Linked DNA regions of Rhinolophus ferrumequinum. The protein of the gene in region 1 interacts with the protein of each later gene in a biochemical or structural test. Links are inferred from orthologs where the notes say so. Each region holds a gene or a part of one and is shown in the gene's direction. Other genes may lie near its edges.

Evidence for each region.
Region 2: the proteins of SH2D1B (region 1) and SLAMF1 interact in a test that uses a peptide from one of them, tested with the Homo sapiens proteins (2 studies listed by BioGRID). The link is inferred for Rhinolophus ferrumequinum from reciprocal best matches to the Homo sapiens genes SH2D1B and SLAMF1.

Annotation. Positions count from the first base shown.
Region 1 is NC_046305.1:2,821,682-2,830,536, reverse strand, and holds the start of SH2D1B (SH2 domain-containing protein 1B), read left to right. Parts: upstream 1-3,228; 5' UTR 3,229-3,305; coding exon 3,306-3,439; intron 3,440-8,855. UniProt on the Homo sapiens protein: Cytoplasmic adapter regulating receptors of the signaling lymphocytic activation molecule (SLAM) family such as CD84, SLAMF1, LY9 and CD244. In SLAM signaling seems to cooperate with SH2D1A/SAP.
Region 2 is NC_046305.1:27,930,836-27,939,690, forward strand, and holds the start of SLAMF1 (signaling lymphocytic activation molecule), read left to right. Parts: upstream 1-3,077; 5' UTR 3,078-3,120; intron 3,121-8,855.

The DNA of each region.
Region 1 (8,855 bases):
TTGCGTGTGTATGCATGTGAGTGTGTGCGTGTGCATGCGTGTGTGTGCGCGTGTGCTGGGCGGGATTGCGTCCTTTTCTTGGTATCCCCAGACACTTTCTTTCATTTATTTTTTCGTTTTTTGTTCTTTGGGTTTTTTTTTGTATCTCCATGGGAGGATGGATGTAAATATATATTTTCAAATCACTGTCATGGGTTTTTTCGGGTAAATACCCAGAAGCGGAATTGCTCTATTTTTAATTTTTTGAGGAACCTCTATACCAATTTACATTGCCACCAACAGTGCACAGGATTCCTTTTTCTCCACAGCCTCTCCGGCACTTGTTATCTTCTGTCTTTTTAAGGACAACCATTCTGAACATGTGAGATGACACCTCACTGTGGTTTTTTTCACTTGCATGTCCCTGAGACCCAAGGTCATTGAGCAGGTTTCTGTCTGTCTGTTGTCAATCTGTATATCTTGTTTGCAAATATGTCTATTCAGGTGCTTTCCCCATTTTAAAATTGGATTCTTTGGGGTTGTTTTGCTAGCGAGTGGTGTGTCTTTACACATGTGGATATTAACCTCACATGTGGATATCAAATGTGGTTTGCAGAACAGCTCGCCCACTCTGTAGGTGGCCTTAGCAGGCTGTTTCCTGACGTTTCTCTCCATGAGTCACCTGCATTCTTCATTTTATGGACAAGTTCTCTCCCTTCTACAGGCTGTTGGGCAGGTTATGGCCACCAGTTCACAGCACAAAAATACACCTATTTACAGGCATTCCTAGAGAACTCATCTCCATTCATATTTCCTCCTCCCACCCCAGTCAGTCCTCTGTGCCCTCTCTTTCTTCTTTTCCTCATTTCCTTCCAATTCCTCGGTAAGGGTCTCTGATTAGCCCATCTCAGGTCAGGGCCTACCCTTGGCCTCCCAGAACGTTCCATCTGGGACGTTACTATTTCAAGGTGTGTCTCTAGAACAGTGAGATTTGAGTACCAGCTGACACACGTCCTACGGAATGTCCCAGACCTGGATGTGTCTGTCTCGTGACAGTCCCATAAGACTTAGTGATACAGCCTTGACTCATTTCTGGTCCTGCTGTTTGGGGCCCACCTCAGAGGGATCCTCTGTGCTTCCTGCTGCATCCAAGTCTGGCTGTCCCCCTCTGGGACAGGCTAAGTCTGATCAGTGGGTTCAGGTGGTGACAGTTTGACCTCTCACTGGTAAAGGTCATTATCAAACTTGCCTAAAGTTTTCACCCACTGACTGTTTTTGCCCGAATTATTCCTTTCAGGAGGTGTTACAACACGGACTTGAGAGGGTTCTGTCAGTGAGTAAACACATGTCACTTTGCTAGACTGTCCTCCTTCCCAGTGTCACCATTTTACACTCCAATCAATGATGCATGAGACGTTATTACCCTAGTTCACCCCAGCATGGCCAACCCACTGTGTCCAAACTTGATTTTCACCAATGTGTAGGTGAGAGATGTTATCTCAGAGTGGAATCAACGTGCGTCACTCATGATGAGTGAGGAGAGGCGGGTAGGTTTTTAAATGTATAAAAAGGCAGGAAAACCCCTGTGATAATGAACAGACTCCCAATTACTTCCTCCTTTCTGTAACTAGTAGCCTTACACCAAGCTTGGTACTCAAGCAAGTTTCCTCTTTCAGCATTAAACGTTCTCTCCTTGACTGTCTTTATTCCCGAGAAATTAGGTAGCAAATTGCCCCAGGCTGCTCGAGAGAAATTGGGATTTGAAAGTATCTCTCTTGATTGTGTCACTGCATGCCGCTCCATGACACCAACGGCAGAGCAGGGGGACTTCCCCTGGAGAACACAAGTGTGTGGGCTGCAAGGAAGTCCAGTGGCAGCCAGACCTCACGGTGGCGATCAGGACAGCTGACACCGTCGCCTCGGCTAAAGTAAGGAAGGGCCGTGAACACAGGTTTGAATTGCCATGGGACGTACCTGAGATACGGAGCCACTCCCACAGATATGTGACTAAGGCAGCAGGACAGGAAGAGAAATTCCATTCCGTTTATACCAGTTGACACTGGATTACAGATACGCTTACATGGCTTATTTATGTGAAATTACTTAACCATTGATTAATGACTCAATCATCTGTGGGATGGTTTGGTTGCTCAAAGGAAATGGGGAGATGGGGGTGAAAGGGCATAAGCTCCTGTGGCCAAACGAGAACGCGCGGGGATGTCGTGTCCTGCATGGCGACTAGTCAGCACTGCCCTGCTGCTTGAGAGTTGCCAAGTGGGTAGGACTCCGTGTGCCCCCCCACAGAACGAAATGGCAATTACGGGACGTGATGGAGTGTTCACTGGCCTGTGGTGGGAGATCGAGTTATCAGGTCGTACGCCTTGAACTACACAACCTTATATGTCGATTAGGTCTCAGCCAAGCTGGGGGAAGGCCTGAGAAATTGCCCTCAGGGCCGCTCTGACCCTCAGGTAACAGGATCCAGCTTTCCCACGGTATCAGCCGATCAAGGTGGAAAGAGATTTCCTCATCAACAGCAGTGTGTCTAAAGGGGGTCAAGTGTCTCTGGCCGGATGATGCTTCCTGGTCTCTCTTCATGGGGACACGTCACTGCTTTGCACACCCACGTGTCCCTCCCACCTGCGCCTGCTACTTGTCCCCAAAACGCAAAGCTGAGGATGCTGAAACTGGCCTTGTTCACCTGTGGCAAGGAGCCTGAGGCAGGGGTGGGCCGTCGCCCCATGGAGTCCCACTGCGTCCTCCCCCACTGATGTCTTCCATTCCTCGTGACCTTTGACCCGTGGGAGTCCTAGCCTTTTCTGTCCCAGTGAGTCTGCACGTACCTGGGCCCTCGCAGCCTCTGAACACTTTCTGAGCGCCCGTTCTAAGCTGAGCACAGACCAACAACTCCAGCAGAAAATGGCATTCTTTAGAGCATGAGCAGTGCTGTGTTCCCGGAAGGGCCACCAGGAGCCAGAGCAGGTGACGCCTGGTGACTTCGGGTGCTGCAGCAGGCTCTGGGGAGCGTGACTGCTCCATGGCAGCCCCAGGGGAGCCCCATGTTCTCTAGAGTCTCAAGCACACTGTCGCCCACAGGTATAAGTCACACTTCGGCCGAGTACAGCCAAAATGGCTTGGTCACATACCACCTCCACCCTTCGCATTTCCTGCTCTTGCGAAATGCGTGGAGTCCACAGACCAGCCTCAAGTCACGCCCACTGGCTGGAGCAGGAAGGGGTATCTCCATTTGGCCAGCTGCCTCTGCGTCTCTCCTCAGAGCCACCCCTGACTCTGGCCTGAGTCCTAGGGCCACAGGGCGCGTCCCCATGGATCTGCCTTACTACCACGGCCCTCTGTCCAAGACTGACTGTGAGAGTTTGCTGCTCAGGGAAGGGGTGGACGGCAATTTCCTGTTACGGGACAGCGAGTCGGTGCCCGGGGCTCTGTGCCTCTGCGTCTGGTGAGTAGCCTCGCCTACCACACATTTCAAACCTTACATGAGGGTAGTAACGATAACCAAACAGAAAGGAAGCCATATTTCACTCTGACGTTGCAGCCCTGCGAGCAGAGGGAGACAAGGGGGGACCCAAGACAGCGGGGAGGATCGCGACTGTCCTCATCCTCAGCACGCCCTGCTCTCCCTGGTGCCACGGCCACACGAGCAGACTGTGTGCGGCCGCAGAAGTGGGGTGCTAGGGAACCTGCAGGAAGCCTGGGAGGTGAGGGGACACCCCTAGTTAGCCTTGCAACCAAGGTGCTCTCCTGCAGAGTCTGTTTATTTGGTTAAGAAAAAGGCCAGGGGTCCTTTGTGAAAAGTCTACCTGAGAGACCAAGTTTTTACACGGATTCTGTGGGCTCCACTTGCAATCCTTCAAATGCTAATAACAGTTCAATTCTGCTAGATTGGTAAAGGGCTGTGGCTTACGCCGTTCCCTCTCACCCATCTTGTCTGCCGAAGCAGCATAGGCCAGCACCGTGTACAGATGGAGAAACAGAGACGTGGGTTTCTCACTCAGTTTGTTTGTGTTCAGATTCACCCGGCGGTTCCAGAGTCTGGCTGACTTCAGGGTGAAGTTCCAGGCCAGAGTCAGCCCAGGGCCCCGTGAAGGCACCTGATCAGCCTGAGAAATAGCACCCCAGAGGTGTCAGTGGGGCCTAATACCTTTCAGTACTCTCCACATTGGGGGGACCACTGAACTTCTTCTGTTCGTTATAGGAATGAAAACCCAGTGCATGCATGCATGCTCCAGTGTTTCTCAGGACGAGGGAGTTAGGAGGACAGAAGTGACAGCACAGGTGGGGGTGGAGGGCACCCCCTCTTTATACGCTGCAACACAGGCATGAGAAATGCAGCCCTAAGGTGCTAGCAGTTTGCATTTTCAAGCTATGGGTAATACTGACAGTGATTTCATCAAATTTTCTTACTCAAAAGAGGGTAATTCTTCTTTTGAGATTTGTGCAATCACATCCCTTCCCCTCTTTTAGCTTTGGTTGTCTGTCTTCTGTTTTACCGATTTATTTCCAGTTTCTATGTATGAAGGTAAAACATTTTTTTGCCAAAAGGACAGATGCACAAACGATAACTACAGACCAATTTCAATTTCATTTAGTATCAGTTTTCAATAACCTACTAATCAAATTGAAGCCAGTAACATGTAAAATACATTCAAGTATGGTCCAATCTAAGACATCAAGGATGGTTCCCTGTCAGGAAAATTATTAGTTTAGAGTTTATTAATTAGAGTTTTAAAAAAATCAGTAGAAAATTAGGTAAAGTATAAGAGGAGGCAATTATCTGAAACAGAAGTGTGGAGAAGACATGAGAAATTGCCAGATCTCGCTTATAAGTAAAGAAGTACAAATGAACAGAATAACAGGACACCCTTTTTACGCTCAATGGGCAAGAATCAAAACTATGGAAATGCCCGAGGAAGTCAGAGTGGGGACAGCAACTCCGTGGTTACATGGCAAAAGCATAAAATGCCTGGATCAAACCTTTGGCCCCAAATTTCACTAATAAAAACCTATCTCCTAGTTAGTGTCCACTGCAAACCAAAATCCAGTAGGTATTCCATCAATAAAAAGGATTTATTCAGGAAAAAGAAAGGATTGCAGCCCGGTGCATGTTGACATGGACAGTCAGGTGAGGTTTCTGCTGGGGAGATGGAAAAGGTCTTTACAAAGGGGACACTCGGGGGACAGGACACTCAGGAGAGGGGCCAGAACCACAGGTCCCTGGTCAGCATAGTGTTCCTGCAGGGCTCTTATGATGACAGGGAGTGGGGTCCCCTCCCAGACACCCTCCCGATTCTCTCCAGGTTAGGATCACACAAGTATGTGCAAATCGACACTGACAAGACTGGATAAATCCATACCCGGTATGAGAAAACCGCCTGATCTATTGTTATGTGAAAAAAGGCAGGATGCAAAGTATGATTCCATTTGTGTGTTTGTTTTTTTTTAAAAAAGGATGCCTCTCTCCTTGAATATGCATATAAAATTTCTAGACGGTATATAACTTATCATCGTGGTTACAGCTGGGACATCTAGGAGGAGTGAGTAGGGAAAAGGGTATGGGGTTATTCTTTTCATGTGATGACTTCTTTCCACTGTTTGAATGTTTTACGTGCATGTGTTACTTTTGTAATTTCAAAAAATGTTTATAAAAATGCAGTGACGGTGATGGAAGGGGAGCTGACTCTGGGTGGTGAACACACAGTGTGATTTATGGATGATGTGATTCAGAATTGCACAACTGAAATCTTTGTAATTCTACTAACAATTGTCACCCCAATAAATTAAAAAAAAAAAAAAAAAAAAAAATGCAGTGAATTCTACTGCCTATTCCAACCCTGGGCTAGGGCCTGGGCAGAGTCTAAGGAGAGTCCGACATGTTCTAAATAAACAGAGCGAGGTCAAGTATAAATTCCAAAATAGACAGTTGTGTTCAAATTCAAGGACAGAGATGAGCAGAAAAGCCTCCAGAGGAGGTGTGATGAGCTGGGGCTTGACTGGGTAAGATTCGGTGACCTGGAAACGGGGTGCATGGGACTCTAGGGGGCAACGCAGGGATGGGTCTAGAAGACGGGTACTTTAAGGCACAGGCGACTCATGCAGGGTCCTGGGAAGGTCGTTTGGAAACCCACTTTGGGAAAAGTAGATTTGGGATATTATTATGGCGGCTTAACAGGAGGATTCCGTAGACAACGGGGAAACCTGGCTGGTTTCTGAGCAGGGACGTGTCAAGACTGGTGCTGAGTTCTAGGCACGCGAATCTGATTTGGAGAATGTACTGAAGGCAGGTGATGGCAGGAGCTGGTGAGGAACGGGCTGTGGTGACAAGCTTTCCACAGCCACGGGAAAGCTGCAGTGAGGAGAACCCCACCTGAGCCGACTTGGCACGTGGCCTCACTGAGGGGACAACGGCAATGAAAAGGACGAGAGGGAGAGACGCTGGGAGTTCCTGCTTTCAGATTCTGAGATCTTTGGACTCGAGTTCAGAAAGGAAAAAAATAATTCAGACTTTTTGGTTGTTTCTAAAACTCCAATGTGGAGAAAAGTGTGAAAAAGAAAGCAGAATGACCTGAGTTTTCAGTACTGAGAAATGAGTGTGTCTGGTCTGGGCACACACACGTCTGCAGACCCCTCTCCATGAGGGTACACACAGAAGAAAACGTGTAGGTAAGTGTTCATTCAACACGACCGTTTGCAACCTGCTCCTTTCAGGGTTTTAGACAGCCGACACTTCATTCTGTCTCAACGCTCAGTGTTTTACTGACAGGGTATATCATAACTTACACATAATCATTCCCTCGGGTTATTTCCAACGGACCCAAGGGAACTTGAGAATATTAGCATTTTCACACGCACATCTCTGAAACTTTGCCCGACTCGCTCCTTAGGATAAAATCCTGGCTGTTTTAACACTTTGCCCACATTGACAAACTAGCACAATAAAAGGCTGCACGAGGCCCAAGCCAGTTAAGGTCCGTGAGAAGGCCAGAGTCAGAGGCCTTGGAACGTCCTTCACTGACTTGGGTTCCCCACTGTGGCGGCCCAGAAACAGGCAGACACAGGCCTGACATCACGACAGACTCATTTCCATGTCCTTCAACTGACCTTTGAAGTTTGGTTAAAATCACGCTGCAACTTGAGCATAAACAAGTTTCCCTCCAACGCTGGTCACTGCGTGAGACGTGCGGTAACGTACAGGCTGTTCCTGACCGGAGCTCACAGACCCCGGATGGCGCCGCTGACCCCACCGTTCACCTCTGTTCACCAGGCTACACACGCCTGTTGCAAAGAGAAACTCAGAAGATCTGTATTCTAGCCTTTTCAAATGTCAACGGAAAACGTAACGCTGAAGAGGTAAAAACGGTCCTGATCAGCCCTGTGTTTGTCTCATGGCTGAAATGGGAGAAGATTTCCAGACGACAACCAAAAACGGAGGCATTTCAACACAGCAAGCAGTAGAAACCTTAGAAATGACTGAATTATTAGTGGACTGCCTTCCTTGTTGTCGCCCCCGGAGCTGTCTTCCACGGTGGCCACTCCCACACTGCTTATCAGGCCAGGACCAAAGAGCAGCTACAGGAAGCCTTTGCTCTCTCTAAGGCCAGAGACCAACCACGGAAACTGCAAGCGCCGTACGTGCAAAATGCACTTAAACTCGGTTTGTGTATTAGGGCAAAAATCCCTCCATCCACATACCGTTTTATGTCACGATGATGGTCACAGCTTTTCAGAGCTATCACTGACCTAAGGCAGAAAGTGTACTGGGGTGGATTTTGACATTTGTCTGCACCCGTGAAGCCATCCCCGCGGCCAAGACACTGGACGCGCACGGCCCCCCGAACCTCCCGAGGCCCTTCCCACCCCAGCTGCTGTCATCAGCTTCTGGGCACTACACACAGACGCAGCGTCACGGAAGCCCAGCGTGCGACACAACTGGACCACCAAAGACGGTCCTCTCTGAGTGCTTTCGCCCAGAGTCACTGTCTTGGGATCCTGCCGAGTGAGCAGAGTCCCGTTCCAGAGACACGTCACGATTCCTTTCCTCACCCACAGCCATCACAGCTAAAGCCGCGACCGACGTCTCTGGCAGGGTCTTGGGGATGTGTTTTAATTTCCCCTGGGCACATAACTAGGGCTCAGTCACAGGGTCCGTGCAGGCTGATACTTTTAAGAAACAATCCATCTGTTTTCCAAAGCGACGGCCATTCCCACCAGCGTGACACAGGTTCTGATGGCCCCACCCCCTCACAGACACCGCCAGGGCCCGTTCTTTTAATTTTAGCCACATTAACATGTGTGCGACGGAGTCGCGCTATGGCTTTAATTCACGTCTTGTGAATGACTAACAATAATGAGCATTTTTCTCAGGTGGTAGTTTCCCATCCATATATGTTCTCTGATGAAGTGTCCGTTCAAAGTGCCCATTGAAGAGTTTCATTTTCTTATCATTTATTTTCTTACTGAGTCTCGGTGGTTCATTACATAGTTTGGATGCAAGTTCTTCATGACAGATGGTTCGCAAATATTGTGTCCTATTTTGTGACTTGTCTTTTCATCCTCTTAATAGTATATTGCAAAGAACAGAGGTTCTCAGTTTTAGTGAAGCCCAATTCATCACTTTTTTTCTCTTATGGATCATGATTTTAGGGTGGTATCTAGTAACTCCTTGTCTAGCTCAATCCACAGAGATTTTCTCCTATTTTTTCCTAGCATTTTATAGTTTTAGGTTGCACATTTCATCTCATGTAGCCCATTTTGATTTAATTTTGGTATCTCTGGTAAAAATAAAGTCACTTATTTAAGAATCTAACATAAGCTATATGGTAGTTGGGTTTCAAAAAACCAAGTGATCAACCAAAATG
Region 2 (8,855 bases), about 25 Mb from region 1:
TGGCAAAATAAGGACCTCTCATCTATAAAAGCAATGAGAAAACTAAAAAACAAACAAACAAACAAATGAAAACAAAAAAAGCAGAATCAGCTTTTCCAGAATTCTAGAAATTAACCAAAGGCTTACAGCAATTCAGGGAGTGTTTATTTAAGAAAAATGTCTGAATCCCAGTAAGAACAGTGAGCTTTGTGGCATTTTATCTTGCCCTAGTCCCATCCCACGTTCTCTAGCCTCTCTCTTGCATTTAAAACCCACAGCCTACAATCATGGTGAAAACCAACAGCCTGGCAGACACTGGAGGGGTAAGAAGGGGTTGAGGCTCCTTTAAAACCTCATTCCCAGAGAACTGTGTATGTAGTGGTTACGTGAAGGACCCCACTTGCAAGCCTTTCTTTATTGGATGAGTGGAAATCACACAGTGTGAAAGCCTTTTCCCTGAGGATATTTGTCAAAAACAACTAGAGGCAATTGATCAAATTTGCAGCTTTCTGAGGTTGGTAGATAACAGTTCTCTTCTTAGTTTTCTGTTGAATCAATCAAGAAGAGAAGAAAGTTTCCATGAATAACTACCTACAGCCTCTACTTATTACCGTGTTTCCCCGAAAATAAGACCTAGTTGGACCATCAGCTCTAATGCGTCTTTTGGAGCAAATATCAATATGAGACCCAGTCTTATATTATATAACACCTGGTCAGTCTTATATTATATAACACCTGGTCTTATATTATATAAGACCCGGTCTTATATTAAAATAAGACCGGGTCTTAAATTGATTTTTGCTCCAAAAGACACATTAGAGCTGATGGTCCAGCTAGGTCTTATTTTCGGGGAAACACGGTAATAAGTAGAGGCTATAGGTTGGCTGTGGCTCTGCAGGGTTCTGAACCACAAATATCTTTCCATTCCAGTTCCCAGGCAACCTTTCTCCGTTGTGCTATACTCCTGCAGAGGGCAGGAATACAGAGCAGAAGGATCTTTTTTCAAATACAGGTTTGTGACATTTCCATGCTTAGAATCTTCAAAGGTGGGCTCCTTAGATGGCCTGAGGGCTACTACTGATCCCTGTGTGACTCAGCTTCTGTGGATTTTTCCTGCCTAATTTCTAGGTTGGCCCCTCCCTTGAAGCAAATGCTGCAACCTTCCTGAACTACTTGCAGTTCCCCAAACTCACCCAGTGCTTTTGCTCAAGCTTTTGCACTTCCTGGAATCATCCCTCCTTCTCCTTGTCTGCCTAACAAACTCCTACTCATGTGTCAAGATTCAAACCAATTGTTGCTTCTCCAAAGCCCCGAAACCACTTCTTAGGGATGAGTCTTTCTCCCTCCCCCATATATAACCTCTTTCCATCCCCTATGTAATAGAGATGATTATTACAGAGAAAGTTTGGAAATCATCAGCAGGGAAGCCCACAAAAATTGGCATTTCCCCATATTTTTTTTTCTTTTTTTTTCTATTTTATTATTTTTTCTGGTACTTATTTTTTTCTTTCGCACATACCCCTCCATCATTTTGTCAGTTTTTCTTACAACTTCATATCCTATTATAGAATTAGCTGTATCAATATTAGTTTGGTGCAAAAGTAGTTGTGGTTTAAAAGGTTAAAAATAATTGCAAAAACCAATTACTTTTGCAAAAACCTAATAGCATTAAAACTTGATTTTCGGAGACCAAGCACTATTATTTGATCTGCACTCATAAGTGGTTTGCCTTCAGGCACTCTGGAACTCTATAAGGGTGGCAATAATGATGATACCCATATTTTTTTCAATCTTGGAAGACCAAGAAAGGAAAGTGACATGCCCAAGTACACGTAACAAATTCCCAGCAGACTTGAGGCTGGAAGTCAAAGATGCTTTCTCCTTCCTTTGGGACTTGCTGATAACCTCTCTGAGGCTTGACCATGTGGTCTCCTGGATTCTTGCAAACCCTAGACCACTGAATTTTGAATGGCCTGCTAAGATGACAACATCGAAGGGCTTGTTGGCACCCATATTAAGCACTGGAATGAGCATATTTGGTCTTCAAGCTTATACCTAACATCTGGAACCACAATGGAAACCTCTGGAAGGCTGCATGATATAAGGGAAAGAGAATAATCTTTGGAGCCAGACAGTCTTGAGCTTGAGTTTCAAACCCACCAATTACCAGTTTTAGAAAAGTAAACTGTCTAGTCTCAGTTTTCCATATGAAAGAAGTGGATGATCTTTTTTCTTTTCTGTTTCAGGTGCACAAAACAATGTAATAGTTAGACATCTACACCCCTCACAAAGTGATAGCCCCACTCCCCCAATCTACTACCCCTCTGACATCATATATAGTGCTTACGATTCCATTGACTCTATTCCCTATGCCATACTCCACATCCTGTGATATATATATATTCATTATTATTCGGCTTCATCTTCAGGTGTACATTGCAGTCGTCAGGCACCTACACCATCCATGAAGTGGTCTCTCTAATAAGACATGTGCCATCTGACACCCTACAAAATCTTTACATTATCGATTATATTCCCCAAACTGTTTTTCATATCCCCGTGGCCATCTTGAGGTTACCAATTGGTGCTTCCTAATCCCCTCAGCTTCTCCCTCATCCCCCCCACATCTAGCAACCCTCAGTTTTTTCTCTATATCTCTAAGACTGTTTCTGATTAGTTTGCTTATTTATTCTATTCTTTAGATTCCACATGTAAGTGAGATCATATGGTATTGGTCTTCTTTGTCTGACTTGTTTCACTTAGCGTAATGAAAAAGTGGATGATGTTTTCAATCAGGATTAAATAAAATAGCCTCAGTAAATCATCCAGCACAAGGTCTGGTATGCAGTAAATACTCAATAAGTATTAGTTGGCTTCTTCTGTCTTATACTGTCCCCCCTTTCTCCTAGGCTTAGGACTTTAATTTGACTGAATCAAGACAGTCAAATTAGGTTTAGAGACCTCTTAACCTAAGCTTCTCAAGAGTAAAATAAGAAGGAATTGATTATATGATCTCTGTGTCCTAAATAATACCTTCTTTCTATTCTTCTTGCTTTTATTAATCTTCCCATTCAGGTGTGTGGACTCAGCACAAAGACTGCCCTTGGATGAGATCTGCACAACAGACGTTTTGCTGTCAGAGTATGTAGAGAGGTATTGGGAAATACCTGAGTAAATGCAAATTTGGAGGCTAAACAGTACTTCTCTGGGTCTGATGATTTCCAAGATGCTGCGGAGATATAATTTCAGTGATGATGTAGAGAGGAGAGGACAGCCCTACCTCAAAGAATGGTTGTAATTTGTATGTTCATTCCACAAACATTTTTAACACCTACTGTATGTCAGGTATTGTTAGATTGGGGAAACATGAATATAAATAGAGCAAAATGAAAGTCAGTCAAGGGATAGGTATACTGACCTAAAACCCAAGAGACCTGGTTTCTGGTCATGGCTTCACAAAAACTGTTTCAGGTAGCCTCTGGCAATTCCCTCAGAGGTGTTAACCTCTAAGTCTCAGCTTTCTGAGGGTGAGATGAGGGAGTTAGAGAGGTGGCTTCTAAGATTTTTTTGTTTTTCATTTTCTCCAGATTATACCACTTGTCTGAAATTCAGCTCTATATAATCAAGTAGTACTTGGAAATCTCCATCTGGATGTACCATAAATATGCCAAATAAACATATTCCAAAACCAAAAACTAATCTCACACCCTTGCTCCCAATTTTGTTTCAAATTTCTCTACCTCCTATACTTCCTATCACAGAGAATGGCATTGCTATATGCCTGGAGGCTATACCATAAGTCCAAAGGCCTTTGTATATAGGCCTCTCTCCTTCATACCGCACATCCAATCAGTTGCAAAACGCTGCCAAATCCACATATGAAATAAGTCTTCAATGGATCTCTTTCTCTCCCACCTAATTACCACTTCCTCAGTGGAGACTATCATTTCTTCTAATCATCTCCCAGCCTCTAGTTTTACCTAAATCTCTCCCACAATGTGGCCAAAATAATCTTTTTTTGGGGAACAGTTTGTTTTTCCAGGACCTATCAGCTCCAAGTCAAGCCGTTGTTTTCAATCTAGGTGTGGAGGGCGCAGCTCACTGGCCCATGTGGGAAACAAACCAGCAACCTTGTGTTAAGAGCTCACACATCTAACCAACTGAGCCAACCGGCTGCCCATGGGCAGCTCAGCTCCAAGTCAAGCTATTGTTCTCATCCTGGTTGTAGAGGGTGCAGTTCACTGGCACAGGTGGGAATCGAATTTATGATGTTGGTGTTATGAGCACCGCGCTCTAACCAACTGAGCCAACGAGCTGCCCCCAAAATAATCTTTCTAAAGAAGAAATTTGATCAGGTCACTTACCTGCTTAAAACTTTTGGTGAATCCTATCAATAGAATGAACAACTATCCTAGGATATATTTAACTACTTGTATGTGAAAAGTTTTGATCAGGTGGGAGGAGGAACATTGCCTCCTGTCAGAGGCCTAGGTTTAGTAGGTCCGGTATTCTTAGGAATGAATGAAAGACAAAACAACAAGGAAGAGAAGGGAACTAGAAAATACTGACTGCCCAGGCTATATCATATACTGTACTTTATATACACTATGTTGCTTTAACCCTCAAAAAAATACATGAGATCTCTCAGGTCAGATTCCCCCCAAGATAGACTCTGAGATGAAGATGCATGTGCAGGAAGTTCACTGGGAAGTACTTGTAGAATCAATGCCTGTGGGAAGTAAAACATGTAGGATTGAGCAGAGGGAGAAGTTGTACCCAATACAGTTGCAACAAAGGCCTAGCTGACTCCACAAGGAGCTCTGGAACTGTGATACCCGTTAAGGGTTGCTCCTAGTTGAGGCAAAGTGACTGGACTTTTATATCCTTTCATTAACCAGCTTACCAGTCATTAGATGTGGGTGGCCCTCATGGAAGGAACTGTCTGAGGGCAGCTGCTGAAGAAGGACTCAGCTGAGAGTTGTTAGTCACCAAAGCATCCAGCAACTGGGGCGAGACCGCTATGCTGTTCTGAGATCTGAGCTGCATGTCATGCCATCCACTATACAAGTAACCTGTAATACACTATTTTATAGATAAGAAAACTACGTTTCACCAAAACTGAATTGTCCTACCTGATACAAGTACTGAGTGAAACCTCTGTGGTTCTAATTCATATTTTTCTGACTCCATGAGCCCTTGGCTACATATACTTCTGAAATTAGAAAAAAATTCATTAGCATAAAGTCAAACTTGAACCCTCAGGTGTTTGGATGGTAGTACAAGCTGTCACACACACATAAATCCTTAGAGGAAGAATTAGAGCTGAGCAGTAGTTTGGTCAAGTATTTAAGGTCCTACAAGAGATTTCTGAGAACAGACAGTGCAAGTATCAGGGCCTGTGGGGCTTCAATGTGAAATTCAGGACAAGGACAGCAAGACCACGCTTAGGGCAGGCTCAGGATGGGTCTTCGTAGAATACTGGCAGCTGCAAAAGCCAGCAAGGCAGCAATCACAGACCTGGCTGGGCCAGTGGCTAGAGTTGGCCCGGGAGTTAGAGATCTCAAAGGGCTGATGGAAATGAGACAGAGGGAAGGGCAGAAAGAGAGAGTCAAAGGTCAAAATGGAGGCAGCTCCTAAGAAGAAGCTAGACAAGAAAGCTGGACAAGAAATAGCAAAGTAAAGAGTCATAGATACTTAATCATGAATGGATTAGGTGGGGCGTGGAGCCCAGAAAGGATGTAATAGAATGAATGCGAAGCACCACAGCTGTTCTCTTCCCCTGGTCTCTACTTCTTGCCCCTGGATATGAGGGGCTCTGACAATGGCTTTGCTACATAGGCGCATGTATTCAAGGCCAGTGTAGCAGGACGTGGTAAAGTTTATATTCCAGTGTTGTCCCTGCTACTTATTTACTGTGTGACTTCAGGTAAATTATTTAACTCTCTAAACCTCAGTTTCCTCATCTGTGAATTGGGGATAATAATTGTAAGGTCTAGACCTGCTGCAGAGCTCATGGGAAAGATAAGCTGTTTCTGTTGTAGAAATCTCATATTCTTCCCCTCCATGACCTAACACACTTGTGTGAGCAAACCAAATTCAGAACCCAGGCTCTTAAAGTTAATTCTTGGATTTTAAAGAGCTAACTAAGCAGCATAGGAAGCAACATGATTATCTATCTTTCTCCTAGTCCTCCATCCCAGTATGGAAGTCTTCCCCAAGTGGAAGAGTGGACACTCTGCAGATGCAGGGGGAATATCTGCAGACGCCTGTTGGAGGGTCTAGCTGGAGCGAAAGCTGAGAAGGACAGATGAGTATCAGGGTGCCAGCTGAGCATGCAGGATTTCATATCCCAAACCTTGGCCCAAATGAGACCAAGGTTTAGCATTTTAATGGCCTTTATCCTGATTGAGTCATCAGAACTGGGAGCTGGGAGCCATCCCTCCTAAAAACAACAAAACAGAACTAGAGGCCTCTGCTTAACTGACTTATTTACTCTTAGAAAAATTTCTTAAGAAGGGACATGCTCTGTTATCTTACTTAACAAAGCAAAATTTAGAAACAGTAAATCTGAAGAAGGAAGCCTGTCTCTGGATATGGTCTATACCTCTTTTACCCCATAAAATGCCTTCTAAAACTTAACATTTTAAACTATCTCATGATCTGCACTTGCTCTGTTTTCAAGGCAAGATAATTAACACAATATTCTTTAAGAAATTTCTGCTCATAAAACTAGACAACAGCATATAATAATAAATTTTTATGTATTACGTTAAATTTTAAAAGTATGGAAGTGTATGCACACCAGTCATTATAGTTACAAATGTGCTTATGGAATGAGTAGCCTATTGAGGCAAGAACATACTTCTTTTAGGCCGCTGTGCAGTGAGGAGCGATGCTTCCACAGCCTCTCCCTGAGTACCAGTATCGTGACTATAATCATTATTGAAATTCACCCCACTACTCATGATGATACCCAGAGGCATTTTTTGACTTAAATTTTATAATACAGCAAAAGAAAAAACTGAGGTGACCAAATCCACCTTACAGAATGAAAACCTTATAGGTATTTTATACAGTCACAGTTAAAACAATCACTGTAACTGCTGTACTGTGTGATTTTCATATTGACTTCAAATCCCTTCACACGTGGATTTTGCGAAACTGAATCAAGTGTGGTTAAGGGTTCACTTCATATTTTCATTCTGTTTCACATTTTCTGTTCTGATTCATATTTTTTTACTGTTCCTGTTCTGTTTTATGTACTGATATTTTTTTCTTTTATGAAATGTGATAGTCTGCTGAGAATTTTTGATTCCTTTATTACAGGGCTTTTAAATATTCATTGCAGAAAATCCACACTCTGTCTTCAATTACTGAAAGTTCTTAATGGCCCATAATGTGCTTTGTCTTTAATTTATGCTACAAAGCTATTGTTGACTCTTAAGGGGAAGCCCAAGAATGATGTTCATATCAGGGGTCCCTGAAGCTTTCTGTTCCTGGTCTCCTAGGACAGTCCTCAATCTTGACTACTTCCTGTACATCACCAGATGCAGCTAAATGAGGTTCATCATTTAATCACTCATGCCTACCTTTAGGAAACCATGAAAATGGTAGACACCAAATGCAAAATGACTACCACATGACAGGCACTGCACTGAACACCTTGCTTGGATTAATGTCATTTAGTTCTCCCAACAACACTGTGAGATGGTTCCTCATCTTAACTGTTATTACTGAGGAAAGAAAGGCTTAGAGAGATTAAATAACTTGCCGAAGGTTGCAAGATTTCATGATTTATAAATAACAGACCTAGGCCTCTCTGACCATAGAGCCAGAGTTCTGAACCGGTCTACTCTAGTGCCTTAAAAAAAAGATTTAGAGGAGATTTGAGAACTTGAAAGCAGTTGTGACAAAAAAAAAAAAAAAGGAAAAGAAAACTACGGAATATTGTTTTGCTTTATTTTTTAAAAATTTCTTCAATGCTGTATTACATTTGCAATTTTGCAAAGAGGGGATGAAACCCTAATATTTAAAAATCCCACTTCCTAAATATCCTGCTCTTAACTAAAAATGATATCTGAGAAGTCATTCACACGGTTGATAATTACGTTAATGCTTGTATGATTACATCATTAAAGGATGTTTAGAGTCATATTTTAACCCAATGGAATGGTTTTCTCATGGTTAGTGCTGGGGAAAGCAAGTGAATAGAGAAGAGGAAGCTATTGGACTTTCTCCATGTGCTTCATTTGGGGCCTCCCTTCCCTCTCCCCCCCCCCCCCAATTTATTGCTTTCTCCAATGATCCAAGCTAGAATTTTTCACTGAAGCTTTCTAGTCTATAGCTTGGTTTACCAAACTACTCAAGTATCTTAGCTTTTTCCCTCTCCCCTAGATTCACTTCATGTCAGCCCACCTCATTGGTGTGATAGGGCAGGAATCCCTGTTCTGGGCTCCATACCTGGTTCATAAGCATCTCAGAGGATCATTGAATGACCTCATGGAGCATGCAGCTCCCACTTCCCCAGCTGTCTCTGTCTCTCAGGGAAGTGATGATTGGTTAGAAACTATTCAGAGAGAAAGGAATGAATCCTGCTCCTCATCTGCCTTTGTAGGAAAAGTGTTCAGAGGACTTGCCAAAGAGCCTTCTAGAACTGCCAAAGAGAAGGCCATAGCTCAAGTTTTGTTTGGACAAACAGGCTGACAGTGGTTGTCCAGGATTTCTAGGATACTTTGAAAATTTTTGTCATAATTATTACTCTAAGAAGGTAGATCAGCACTATGGGAGGCAATGTTTGATGCACAGAAAAGGTTGGAGGCTGATGACTCAACAGCCACTGTAACCGGTTCCTAAACCCTGTTCCTTCCTAGGAGTGG